Mus musculus: one gene and its partner. The protein of the gene in region 2 purifies or fractionates together with the protein of the main gene of each other region. This does not show direct contact. Links are inferred from orthologs where the notes say so. Each region holds a gene or a part of one and is shown on either strand. Other genes may lie near its edges.

The links. The genes of interacting proteins can lie anywhere in the genome.
Region 1: the proteins of Tuba1a (region 2) and Txndc9 purify together in Homo sapiens (affinity purification with mass spectrometry; 3 studies listed by BioGRID and IntAct, counting the BioPlex papers as one, with this or other methods). This does not show direct contact. The link is inferred for Mus musculus from reciprocal best matches to the Homo sapiens genes TUBA1A and TXNDC9.

Annotation. Positions count from the first base shown.
Region 1 is NC_000067.6:37,992,929-37,999,272, reverse strand, and holds the start of Txndc9 (thioredoxin domain-containing protein 9), read left to right. Parts: upstream 1-2,064; 5' UTR 2,065-2,164; exon of another isoform or gene 2,165-2,380; intron 2,381-3,431; 5' UTR 3,432-3,451; coding exon 3,452-3,640; intron 3,641-5,162; coding exon 5,163-5,281; intron 5,282-6,344. Other genes in the region: Eif5b (eukaryotic translation initiation factor 5B), read right to left, coding at 949-983. UniProt on the Homo sapiens protein: Significantly diminishes the chaperonin TCP1 complex ATPase activity, thus negatively impacts protein folding, including that of actin or tubulin.
Region 2 is NC_000081.6:98,949,176-98,955,448, reverse strand, and holds Tuba1a (tubulin alpha-1A chain), read left to right. Parts: upstream 1-1,947; 5' UTR 1,948-1,995; coding exon 1,996-1,998; intron 1,999-3,757; coding exon 3,758-3,980; intron 3,981-4,112; coding exon 4,113-4,261; intron 4,262-4,434; coding exon 4,435-5,415; 3' UTR 5,416-5,602; downstream 5,603-6,273. UniProt on the Homo sapiens protein: Tubulin is the major constituent of microtubules, a cylinder consisting of laterally associated linear protofilaments composed of alpha- and beta-tubulin heterodimers.

The DNA.
Region 1 (6,344 bases), on a different chromosome or scaffold from region 2:
AGAAACCCAGAATCTATTCCGCAGACCAGTTTACATTCTCCAACAGACCTAAAACCAAAATACAAGCCTAGTCTTTAAATTCTTCTTGCCAGATAGCCAACTGCGAGGTCCACACACTTAAGTGTTCCGACATACACTTCAACAGCTTTAACTTCAAAACCATGTCTGTGTGAGCCACAGCGATGAAGTGCCACAAGGCTTGGTTTTGTTTTCGGTTACCTGTAGTGTTTTAAATTAAGTTGAATGGCCATTACTTAAAGATGAAATGGAACAGATGGTTGCAGACGCCCAGGAAGTCAACTCAACTGAAAAGGGTAAAAGAACTTAATCGAACGTGGCACAGGCATGCTCCCCAAATCTCCGCCTAAGTAGCTCATAAACACACACTCCTTCCCCTGAAAAGGCTTTTTCTTTTAAGGTTAGAAAGCAGCGACCCTTGACTGGTTTCTTCCCCTCCTCCTTTCTTAAGGGAAGCGGTAGGAAGCCAAGACATACGCAAAAAAAAAAAAAAAAAGAGGCCGGAAAATGGAAAGCCAGAAAGCAGGACTGGGCAACCGGGACTTTAAATAACCCCAGAAGTGTTTCCAACTTGGCACACGGGAGGAGGGAGCCGCTGGGCTACCTCTCCGCAACCCCGAGCACCTCCGAAGTTCCTGAGCCGCTCTGGGAGGCGTTCCCAGGGCCAGGGGAGGCGAGGGAGCCGTTCCCGGCCCGCCCCACCCGGGCTCTCCGGGCCCGGCTCGCACTCACCTGGGCCGTAGGCCTGGCTTAGCAGCGCCCGAGCCCGGCCCCACACCGCCCGGACCCCCAAACGACCTCCGAGCCCCTCAGCCCCACGCCTCGGACCCCAGCCCGAGCCCCGGCCGCGGGACGCGCCCCGTCGAGGCTCGCCCATCCAGGGCCCCGCGCGACTCCCGGAGGACCCCCGGCCCGAGCCCCGCCGCCTACCTGTCTTCGCTCTTGTTTTTCTGTTTCTTCCCCATCGCTTGTCAACGGCGCTCGCGGCCCCGGCCCCTCGGTTCGGTGTCTCACAGACCCACTGTCTCCCGGCTGACTCCAATGCCCGCTCGGCTCGGTCCCCCTCGCGCCGCCGCCTCTCGCACCCGGCTCTCCACAGACCCGCGCACTGGGACAGGGCACATATGGTGTGAGCCCTCAGTACGCAAGCGCATCGCCCCGCCGCCTCGGCGTGGGGACGCAGGGCGCGGCTCATCGAGAGCGGCGCTTCGGCTAGAGCGTCTCCAGTAGAGCCGCCGGCCAGGTGGGAACCCAGGCGCCCCCTCGCCGCAAGTGAGCGCCGCGCACCGACGTCCGGCGGATCCCGGGTTCTAGAACCTAGAGGACGACAATGAGGCCGTTCATTTCTCACGTCGGCACCCTTCCCGGGGCTGGCTTTCGACGCAGAAGTGGGACTGAAAATTCTCCCCTGCCTACGCGGCCTCAGCTGCGGGAAGTCCATTACAGGACCACAAAGAGTCAATGATGAGCGTTCTGGGGGTGGCAGGACAAAAAATGGGATCCCTCTCAGAAACACTCATGAATTGTCAACTGTGTACATTTATTAAGGGGAAAAAGACATAAGGACACAGCAACGGGTCCCCTAATATGAATCTTCGTATGAGCAAGTTCTAAAAATTCATGTGCCTAAGAAAGTCAGGAGGGAAGATCCTGGCATGGTGAAAATTTTCTCCATGTTTCGGGGCGATGTTACTAGTGTGAGCTGTGTATAAATTATAATGTACTGTAAGCTACACTTTCGAAACTATTAAACACAACGAGAAATGAAGCCCCTCTGTCACTCAGGCTCAAGACCCGGCTCGTTTCCCGGTAGAGCCGGGACCCGCAGTCAGTGCACAAAGAACTACAATTCCCAACGTGCCTAGCGCCCATCCCTCCGGCCATTAGCCCACGTGAAGCGTAGGCTCGGAAGCCAGTAGTTCCGGGTGGCGGAGGATAGGGCTTCTCCGAGGCTTTCGTCACTCGCCACCGCCCTTTCCGCGAGTGTCTCACATTGTATCGCGAGAGGACTGTAGCCAATGAAGTGGCGGAGTTAACAGCCCCTTCTCTGCCCTTAACAATTGCTGCGAGGTTGAAACCTGTGTGAACCCGGTGGGTATTCTTGATCTGCGGCTTCCTCTCTCCGTAGGCCTCATCAATAGTCCAGGTACGGCTGAGGGTGATGTGGCCGATAGTGCCACAGCGTCCCAGTGTTGATGAAGGACACATCCTCGGCTGGGATCGAGGGAGCGGCTGGGAGGGCCTCGTCTGGGCGGCTGCGGAGGCTACGGCGCATGCGCCCCAGTTAGTGCGAAATCGGGTCCCCCCGGAACTACTCCACCAGTCTCTTGAGCTCAGGGAGTGGCGAAGAGTCTGCTGACAGGTACATGGGGTTAGGGTTTCGGTTAGGAGTTTGTAGGGGAGTACATAGGTGTCAGGGCCCCCAGTTCGTCGGTAAGAATAATACTCGATTTGGTTCAATAAATAGAAAGTTATGTCCTTACCCCCAATATAAAGGCAGTGACCACCTCCGCCTAATTCAGGGCAGCACTTTTAGTCGCGTGAAGCTCCGCATTTAAACGTAAAGGTCTCCTGTGAAATTCTCGGTGATAAACGAATACTGTGATGCAGATTCTGAGTGGCTGGTCTCGGATCCTTCTCTCTCTTCCCCGAGTTAGGGATCCTGGGAGTACAGCTTCTTTTCAGTTGTATAGTATTTATGAGAAGCTGACAGTTGGAGTTTTTAAATGACCTTATGTAGCCCAGGCCTATCGCTCCAAATATGAGGTGTGACCCTTATGCTTCTGCCCTTGAGAGCTGAGGTTGTAATCATGAGCCACCATGCCCAGGCTTATTTTGTGTGTGAGCTGATTAGTTTTAGCTGTCAACTTGATAGAATAATCTACGGTCACCTAGGAAGAAAGACTCATTGAGAAATTGGGTAGATTAGGTTGGCCAGTGGGCATGGCTCAGAGAGTAGGGATTGTCTTGGTTGCATTAATTAATCTACTCCCAGATTAATGTTGTTCTCCAGCAGATGTTGGACACAAGTAGACGTGTGTGTAATTACTTCTCTCTGCTTCAAGAGCCTGCCTTTAGTCGTAGAAGCGATGGGCTGTCACCTGGACTTGTAACGTTTATGTCAGGATATTTTTGAGGAAGTATGCCGAAAAGCAAGCTAGTGTATTTAGGGATTTCCCTGGATTCTGGAACCATAAATGAGATCTTTGATGGTTTACATCTTTATTCTGGTTTTGGCAGGTGTTGGGGCCTACATGCTGAGTTCTAAGGCCAAAATAGTGCCTCCAACATGGCATCTGTTGTGTTAACCTCTCAGGCTCTGTTACAGAGACCCTGTTTTAAAAAAAAAAAAAAAAACAACAAAGCCCCCGAAATGTAAACTTAATACTTATTTTTTATGCCCCCTCCCCCAGCACCAAGACCACTTAGAACAATGGAAGGTAATGGATCCGTCGACATGTTCTCAGAAGTCCTGGAGAACCAGTTCCTCCAGGCCGCTAAGCTGGTGGAGAATCACTTGGACTCTGAAATTCAGAAACTGGATCAGATTGGTGAAGATGAACTGGAGCTGCTCAAAGAAAAGAGGCTGGCGGCGCTCAGGAAGGCTCAGCAGCAGAAACAAGTAACCTCCCGCCCGCCCGCCTGCTCACTGAATCACTGGAGCCCAGCTCCCGACTGCACTGCAGTCATGTGACTTTCCCTCCTCACTTGCAGGATGTTCTGAATTCACATCTCCGTCAATGTTCAATACTTAACCCAGGGATGAAACATTAGGGAAGGTTTAGGCAAGATGAAGCATTTGACTGGGGCGTTGATAGTAAAAGAGAGATGAAACGTCTTCTCATAGACCAAGCTTAGGGTCCACGTATCAGAAAGAAGTATCATGGTTCTGTACGAGAAGATATTTAAGTGTTAGACTCTGCATTTTTATTAGGTTATCTTTTGTGGGGGGGCAGGACAGGAGCAGGATCTCACTGTATAGCCATGACTGGCCTAGAACTCACAGACAACACCGCTTCTGCCTACGAAGTGCTGGAGTTGAGCGCCAGCACCCCTGTTCTGTTTGTGGTTTTCATGGCCACTCAGTGACGTGGTTGGTTTGTCACACTGACTTACAAGAGAGAAGGTGAAGGCTCGGAAGGTTCATTAGAACCCTGGTCAGTTAATGCTGGGGTGGGTGTTGCCACTGCTGCCTGAGGAGGGAGAGTGAGCATCTGTTTGAGGTGTCAAGCTTTCTGCCACAGGAAAGGTAGAAGGGGCTGGAAGAGTTCCCAGGATTGTGGGTAATGGCCCTTCCTCAGCCTGGGAAGCTGAACGTTTCCTTGTGAGGCTTTTCCTTGGCTCTGGACCCCACATGGATATAATACTCTTCCTTCTGAGGACTCTGCCCACTGTTGGCTGGTGTAGAAGCCCTCCCTGTTTTGAGATGGATAGGTTCTTAAGCTCCTGAGCGGTGATGACTGCACTGTCCCCAGGATAGACGGACTTTATTTCTTGAGGTGGTTTGGTTTGTTTAGTTTTTGCTGTGGATAGGACATTGTTTCTAAGTATACCATGCTCAGTCTGTATAATGTTGCTTGTGTGTACATTTTCAAGGCTGACCGTTCGGTAGTGGATAGCCAGTTGGTGTGCTCTCCCTGGAGAACACTCTTTCTCCCACACTCAGCATCCCTTAATTGTCTGTAAGAACATTATTTTCTAAAGTGTAGAGCTCTTCCCTAGCCTGCTCTTCCTGGTTTAGTCCCTCGCATCACAAAATAAACAGAAAAACACTTTTGTAATCATTTGGATCAAACAATCCTGATTTTACTAGTTTAAAGAGCATGCATGTGAAAGTTAAATTGGTATTTTCATGTCATGTCTCTCAGACCTAAATTCTGACTGTGAAACTTAAAATGAAGCAGGTAAATCAATAAGATGCAAAACTGTCTTAATTGAACCATCATAGAGACGGTCACTCCTGCCCACAGACTAGGTCTGCACTAATTGCCACTTCGGCATAGGAAAGCCAACTGCGGATGGGAACACCTGCTATTTATAGAATTGATTCCTTTACAGAAGTACACAGTGATTGAGACATGTAAGACACTTGGTGTCACTGAAACACATTTCAGCTGGGTCTTTTTTGCTTCTCTTGAAATTAGGAGTGGCTTTCCAAAGGGCACGGGGAGTACAGAGAAATCGGCAGCGAGAGAGACTTCTTTCAAGAGGTCAAGGAGAGTGAGAAAGTGGTTTGCCATTTCTACAGAGACACCACATTCAGGTAACCTGGCTCCTGACTTCATCTCTATGGTGATGAGACATTAACGTAGACACACTGCTGACTTGGTAACTGAGAAAATTAAAAGGATAACTGCCATGTTCCTGCGTGGTGATGTGCTCACAGGTGCTTTCATTATTGTAGAGATTTAACTAACAAGCCAGCAATGTGCAAGTAAATAAGTCAGTCTTATTGGAAGTCAGCACTCCTGTGGCTTCTCCATGTAACTCCAAAGACAACCTGAAGTGCATGCGTGTACTTCTTACCAAAACAATCGTTTGATATGCTGTGTTCTCAGGATGCTGGGGATTGGAAGCCAACAGCTTTCCCAGTTGTTTATCCTTCCAGTCTTGGTCCTCTTGGTAAGGAGACAGAGGCTTGACCAAGTCTTCCATCAGAACCGTGGGTGGAACTGTCAGATGTGGAGAGAAGTGATTTCCCTTAAGGCAGCCCAGTCTCTGAGGGCTTAGACAGGGAGAGTAGCGCGCCTCCCCGGGTTATGTTTTTTGAGGGAGCAAGAACTAAGGATTTGTACGTGCTAGGCAACTGTCCTACAACTGAGCTAAAGCCTCAGCCCAAGAGGTTAGGTCTTAAAACAAAGGACTCAATCACACATGAGTGTGTGTGTGTGTGTGTGTGTGTTTCCTTCAGAAAGGGCTAATTGCCAGCCTTTGAAATATGACAACTTAAGAATTAGCCAGATTTCAGATTTTTTATTTTTTTGGTTTTTCGAGACAGGGTTTCTCTGTATAGCCCTGGCTGTCCTTGGAACTCACTTTGTAGACCAGGCTGGCCTCAAATTCAGAAATCCGCCTGCCTCTGCCTCCCGAGTGCTGGGATTAAAGGCGCTCGTCACCACACCCGGCCAGAATTTTTAAAAATTAGAAAAGTTGATCATAACAGATTTAGAATCATAATAGCAATTTTCTGGTGCCGCCTCTCTTAGGTGGACATGCAGGGTAACTGACTCACCCACTGTACCTCAGCCCTGCCTTCTTTCTCTCTCCTGTAGCCTACCTGGCCCTCAGCTTAGCCTCAGAGCCAACCACTTCCGTATAACACCTTT
Region 2 (6,273 bases):
TAGAGGTAGTCAAGTCATCTCTCTTCCCTCTGCTATAAAATAATGAAGATGAGGGGGTTGTTTTTCCTAGGAAATATGCAAGAAGTAGACAATTCTTTGTTTGTGGGTTATATTGATTTGTTTTGTTTTGTTTTTCTTTAGAAAAGACTTTTACGATAAATTTAAACAAGAAAGGCAGAGCTGTGGACCTCAGGCTAGAAGAACTCATGGCCACCATTGTTAGCTCACAACCTGCAGCTGCTGTGTTCCCAAGGCTCTCCCTCCCACACCAGCGCCCTGCGCCTTGGGAGCCCAGCCGGAATGAATGGACTCCACAGGGCTCGCAAACAGAGCTGCGGGCGACCAAGACTCTGCTACTGAAAGGGAAGCCATCTGTCAAAATCCACATTTTTAGCTCGGTGCCCAAACAAATATCTCTTTTCCTCTAAAATTTCATCCTGCAAATTATCAGTGGTCCGCAGCTCGGAGACTCACTATATAGAGATCTTCCTTGCTGACAACGGAGCCTTTCTACATAGCAAGAGAGTGCCACTGTAATCTATTTCCTAGGAGTGAAAGCAAGGCATTTTTGTCCCAAGGGGCAATTGAGCAAGGACCACAGTCTCTGGCTGAGCAGCCTTGGGGAGAGCAGCTACAGTTCCCACAGTCAGAAGCCCAGCTGCGGAAGGGGCTATTTACAGAATTCAGGGAACTACATAAAACTGCAGCAGGGCTGGCACTGCACAGTTGTCTGGGGATGAAAACATCACAAAATGGTTTCCTTTTATATTATAAAACGCTCCTCTTTTTAATTTGGCATCTCAGTTATTTTTTACTTGATATCACCCCTCCCCCTCCAAAAAAAAAAAAAAGACTGGAGAAATACAAGCCCACACAAAGAGCTAGTTTTTAAACTCAATTCTTTCTCCTTACAGTTTCTGAATTCCATATTAGAAAGGATGGCTCATTTCTAGGGACAAAATAACACAGGCTCTGGGGTGAGGTAGGGTGGGGTAGGGGGGCGGGCACGGAGGGGTGATGGGAGAGAATTACAGCTAAAGAAAGAAAGCTCTCTAGTATTAAGTACTACTTTGTATATTATTTCTCTCTTCTCTTCTTTCTTTCTTTCTTTCTTTCTTTCTTTCTTTCTTTCTTTTTCTTTTGGTTTTTGAGACAGGATATCACACTATATATCCAGGGTGGGCACAAATTAGCTGCAATCCCCGGCTTCCCAGTGCTGGGATACACAGGAATAAACCACTAAGGCCAGTTAAGATGACCTTGAGCTGCAAGTCTTCCTGCCTCTGACTCCCAGGTGCTGTTGAGGTCACAGGCGTGGTCTACTCGTACTGACTTTTGCTCAAATAATAATAAAGAATAACAATAATACAATAACTATGAAACTAAACATTCAGCCACGCCTTTTTGACCACCCCCGTATCTTCTGCTACTTTTTAAAGCAAATAGAGATGTTGAATTCTGACAGAACGTAATTAAATTCAGTATATTAAAAATGAAAAGCTGGAATTTTCCAAAAAGATTCTAAACATAAATTCTGTGATTAAGTGTTGGGAAAAACCTTAGATGATTTTTAAATACAGTTTAAGGTTTAAACTACGTATAATCATCCAACCCCAGTTTTCTTTCTTCCCTTTCCACCCCTCCCCAACTCCACCCCATAATGGATGCTCGGCTAGCTGCCTTTGCACGGCCTTTGTCTGAAGGATGCAAAGTCTACGGATGCTAGGGGGAAGGGGTGGGGGAGAGATTACCTCATACCATGTCGCTTGCACCAATCACCACTCTCCTGTCGCGGCTTCTCTGGGCAGACAGAGGGGTCTGGACCAACAGGAAAAGGCCCTGGCCCATCCCCATGGTGACAGAGCTGTATATAAGGAGCCGCATCCGCCCAAGTGCCGCAGGTTCTCTTACATCGACCGCCTAAGAGTCGCGCTGTAAGAAGCAACACCTCCTCCTCGCCTCCGCCATCCACCCGGCAGCCGCGAAGCAGCAACCATGGTGAGCAAGCCTTCCCCGGCTCTCGGTAGATAGAGGGTGGGTGTCAGTCGCCCCAGATCTGCAAGGAAACGTCTAAGGCTTTGGTCACCTCTGCGGGGAAAGGGTGGTCTCCATGCTTTAAGTTTATCTTAGTCTTTGAGTCCCGCCGCCGCAGTGCGGGACACGGAAACGCCCAGACCGGGAAGAACAAAGGCAGCGCCGATGAGCTAGCGCTGGCAGAGCCAGGGACTGCAGGGGACCACGGGGACCGCCGGGGACGGGTGGGGGATCGAGGGTCCGCTGCTGTAGGAGGGCAGGGGCGGCGGCCGAGCCCGAACTCCAGAAACACCGCCCCACTTCGCTAGGAAAATGTTTAGTTTGCGTCGGATCCATGGCAGCCGCTGTCAGGGAGGCGCAGGGGCGGGGTTGTTTGTCTCTTGCTTCCGTGGCGTTTTGGGAGGGGTTGGTTCTCACTAAGCCTCTTCCGAGCGGTTTTTTTTTTTTTAATTATTTTTATTTTTACTTTAAAAAAAATCGTTGTGGAACTGTAGTCATGGGATGTTTCGTCTGCAGGGCTGTCAAAAATACGATTTGCTTAACGGGGACATCTCGCTGAGGGGGGAGGGGAGCTGGATGGTTGGGGAATGACAAAGCCCACTTTGTGAATCCTAGAGTACGCTGATGGTCAGAACCCAGGGAAACGCCCTTCCCCGCCCCCCACCCCCGCAGACAATGAAAGTAGTCCCTCCACAACAGACGTGTATCTCTATAGAATGAAATATTAGTGGTATGTAGAGATTCATAGGATAAAAATATTATTTTCTACTTTTAAATTTAGCTATCTTTTCACTTGTTTTTTTAAAAAATGTTGGCGCTCATTGTTTCTAACTTAGCCTGCTTTAAGAATATTTCCATTCCATACAGTGGAAAACCTTCAAAAAACAATGGATTTTCTGCAAAGAAAAAAATTATACTCTGCACCCAACCATCTTTTGTTCTAATAAATGTGCACTAATTCATTAATTCAGGCTAATGGCCCCAGCCAGGGTTAGGAGGGACCATGAAAGCAGCACAAAGAGATCGCATAGACAGCTGCTGGAAATAGAGCTTTCTCTGTTAAATAATGTAACAGCACAGGCTAGCACCAGGCACAGAGAACGTGGCAATGCAGAAATCAGACTTTGTCTAGCTTGTCGACTAGCCAAAGTACTGATGGGGTCTGTCTGCAGAAGGGTGTGGCTCCTGGCCTCAGCCGCACTGCAGATGTCAGTGTTGAAATAGAAGGTCCTATAGTGTGAGACTCTTTATTATGTAGCCTAGCCAGAGTACTGATGGGGTCCACAGAAGGGTGTGGCTGTTGGCCCCAGCCGCACTGCAGATGTCCATGATGAAATACCAGGTCCTATAGGATGAAAACTTCATCCTTACTTATCGGGTAAAGAAGCAATTAGTATTATTATGGATAATTATTTTGTTTTACAGAATCTATGCTTTAAATATTTTTCAAATATGAAAGCTGTTCTATTCAAGCAAGGCTTTGGAAACAATGGGTTTGCACCATGTCTTAAGCAGTATTAAGGTGACATCTAGGCCACACCCACTTTTGGTGTTTGTAGTGAGTACTCCTCATTGTTCCTGTTATTAGGGATGTGACTCCAAATAAATTTCAACAATATTTCTATTTTTAGAAACACTTTAGAAATCTATTAAGATCTAAAATAGAAATACAGCTTAATATTATAACAGCTTAATTTTATAATTTTTTTCCCTCTTTCCACAGCGTGAGTGCATCTCCATCCATGTTGGCCAGGCTGGTGTCCAGATCGGCAATGCCTGCTGGGAGCTCTACTGCCTGGAACATGGCATCCAGCCTGATGGCCAGATGCCAAGTGACAAGACCATTGGGGGAGGAGATGACTCCTTCAACACCTTCTTCAGTGAGACAGGAGCTGGCAAGCATGTGCCCCGGGCAGTGTTCGTAGACCTGGAACCCACGGTCATCGGTAAGCTGGCTGGGGGCTTCCCCAGGCATTCCTTCTTGGTCACATACTCAGAATCTCTCTCCAGACCCAGAAGGGTGAGTGAGCTTGTGTGTGTCCTCGGTGGCCGATGGCTGACGTCTTCTCCCTTTGCAGATGAAGTTCGCACCGGCACCTACCGCCAGCTCTTCCACCCTGAGCAGCTCATCACAGGCAAGGAGGATGCTGCCAATAACTATGCTCGTGGCCACTACACCATTGGCAAGGAGATCATTGACCTTGTCCTGGACAGGATTCGCAAGCTGGTAAATGCCATATATGGATGGGTTTAAAATGCAGTGGGAGGGTGTCTTGGTATCTGTCAGAATCTGTCAAGTCTTTTCTATCAAGCAAATATGGCTCCCAATCTAAAGGAATTGCAAATAGTGCTAAGAGTATGCCCTCCTAATAAAACATTACATTTCCTTTTCTCCCACAGGCTGACCAGTGCACAGGTCTCCAGGGCTTCTTGGTTTTCCACAGCTTTGGCGGGGGAACTGGCTCTGGCTTCACCTCCCTGCTGATGGAGCGGCTCTCTGTGGATTACGGAAAGAAGTCCAAGCTGGAGTTCTCCATTTACCCAGCCCCCCAGGTTTCCACTGCTGTGGTTGAGCCCTACAATTCCATCCTCACCACCCACACCACCCTGGAGCACTCTGATTGTGCCTTCATGGTAGACAATGAGGCCATCTATGATATCTGTCGTAGAAACCTCGACATTGAGCGCCCAACCTACACTAACCTAAACAGGTTGATAGGTCAAATTGTGTCTTCCATCACTGCTTCCCTCAGATTTGATGGGGCCCTGAATGTTGATCTGACAGAATTCCAGACCAACCTGGTACCCTACCCTCGTATCCACTTCCCTCTGGCCACTTATGCCCCTGTCATCTCTGCTGAGAAAGCCTACCACGAGCAGCTTTCTGTAGCAGAGATCACCAATGCCTGCTTTGAGCCAGCCAACCAGATGGTGAAATGTGACCCTCGCCATGGTAAATACATGGCTTGCTGCCTGCTGTACCGTGGTGATGTGGTTCCCAAAGATGTCAATGCTGCCATTGCCACCATCAAGACCAAGCGTACCATCCAGTTTGTGGACTGGTGCCCCACTGGCTTCAAGGTTGGCATTAACTACCAGCCTCCCACTGTGGTACCCGGTGGTGACCTGGCCAAGGTGCAGAGAGCTGTGTGCATGCTGAGCAACACCACAGCCATTGCTGAGGCCTGGGCTCGCCTAGATCACAAGTTTGATCTGATGTATGCCAAGCGTGCCTTTGTGCACTGGTATGTGGGTGAGGGCATGGAGGAGGGTGAGTTCTCTGAGGCCCGTGAGGACATGGCTGCCCTAGAGAAGGATTATGAGGAGGTTGGTGTGGATTCTGTGGAAGGCGAGGGGGAGGAAGAAGGAGAGGAATACTAAATTAAATGTCACAAGGTGCTGCTTCCACAGGGATGTTTATTGTGTTCCAACACAGAAAGTTGTGGTCTGATCAGTTAATTTGTATGTGGCAATGTGTGCTTTCATACAGTTACTGACTTATGAATGATTGATTTGACAGAGACCCAAGCTGCCCATTTCACTTATGGGTTTTAAATAAAATACTCCCTGTCTTAAAAGTTGTCTTGTGTTCTATATTTGAGTGTGTGCCAGCTTTCATGCTTTGGCTGAAATAAATACCACGACCTCAGAGGAAAGGGTTTATTCTACCTTACTGTCTGTCCATCAAGCGGGGCTGGGGCAGGAGCTGAAAGGGGCAAAGAGGGAATGGCACCTCCTGGCTTGAGCCACGCTGTGCTCTGTCTGCAGTTTATCTGACCCAGGACCACCTGCTCAGGGGTGGTGCCACCCACTGGGGACCCAACCTTCCCACACTAATCATTAATGAAGAAAATGATGCTCCCAAAGACCTAATTACAGACTAGTGTGATGGAGGCACATCTTCCCATGTGACTGCACATTGTGTGAAGTTGACAGGTTACCACCACATTATATGGAAATTATGTACTATATAAAAAAGATTTTGTGGTGTAGGCCTGTCGTATCAACAGTTGGGAAGCAGAGGCAGGAGGATTAAAAGGTCACATACTATATAACAAACTGCAGACCAGCTTGGGCTACGTGAGACCTTTTCATAAAAAGCAGTTGGGAAATAGAGTATATACATATATACATACATACATACATACATGCCAGGCATGTGGGTGTATGCCTTTAATCCCAGTACTCAGGAGGTAGAGGGAGATCTCTGAGTTTAAGGCCAGCCCACTCTACACAGCA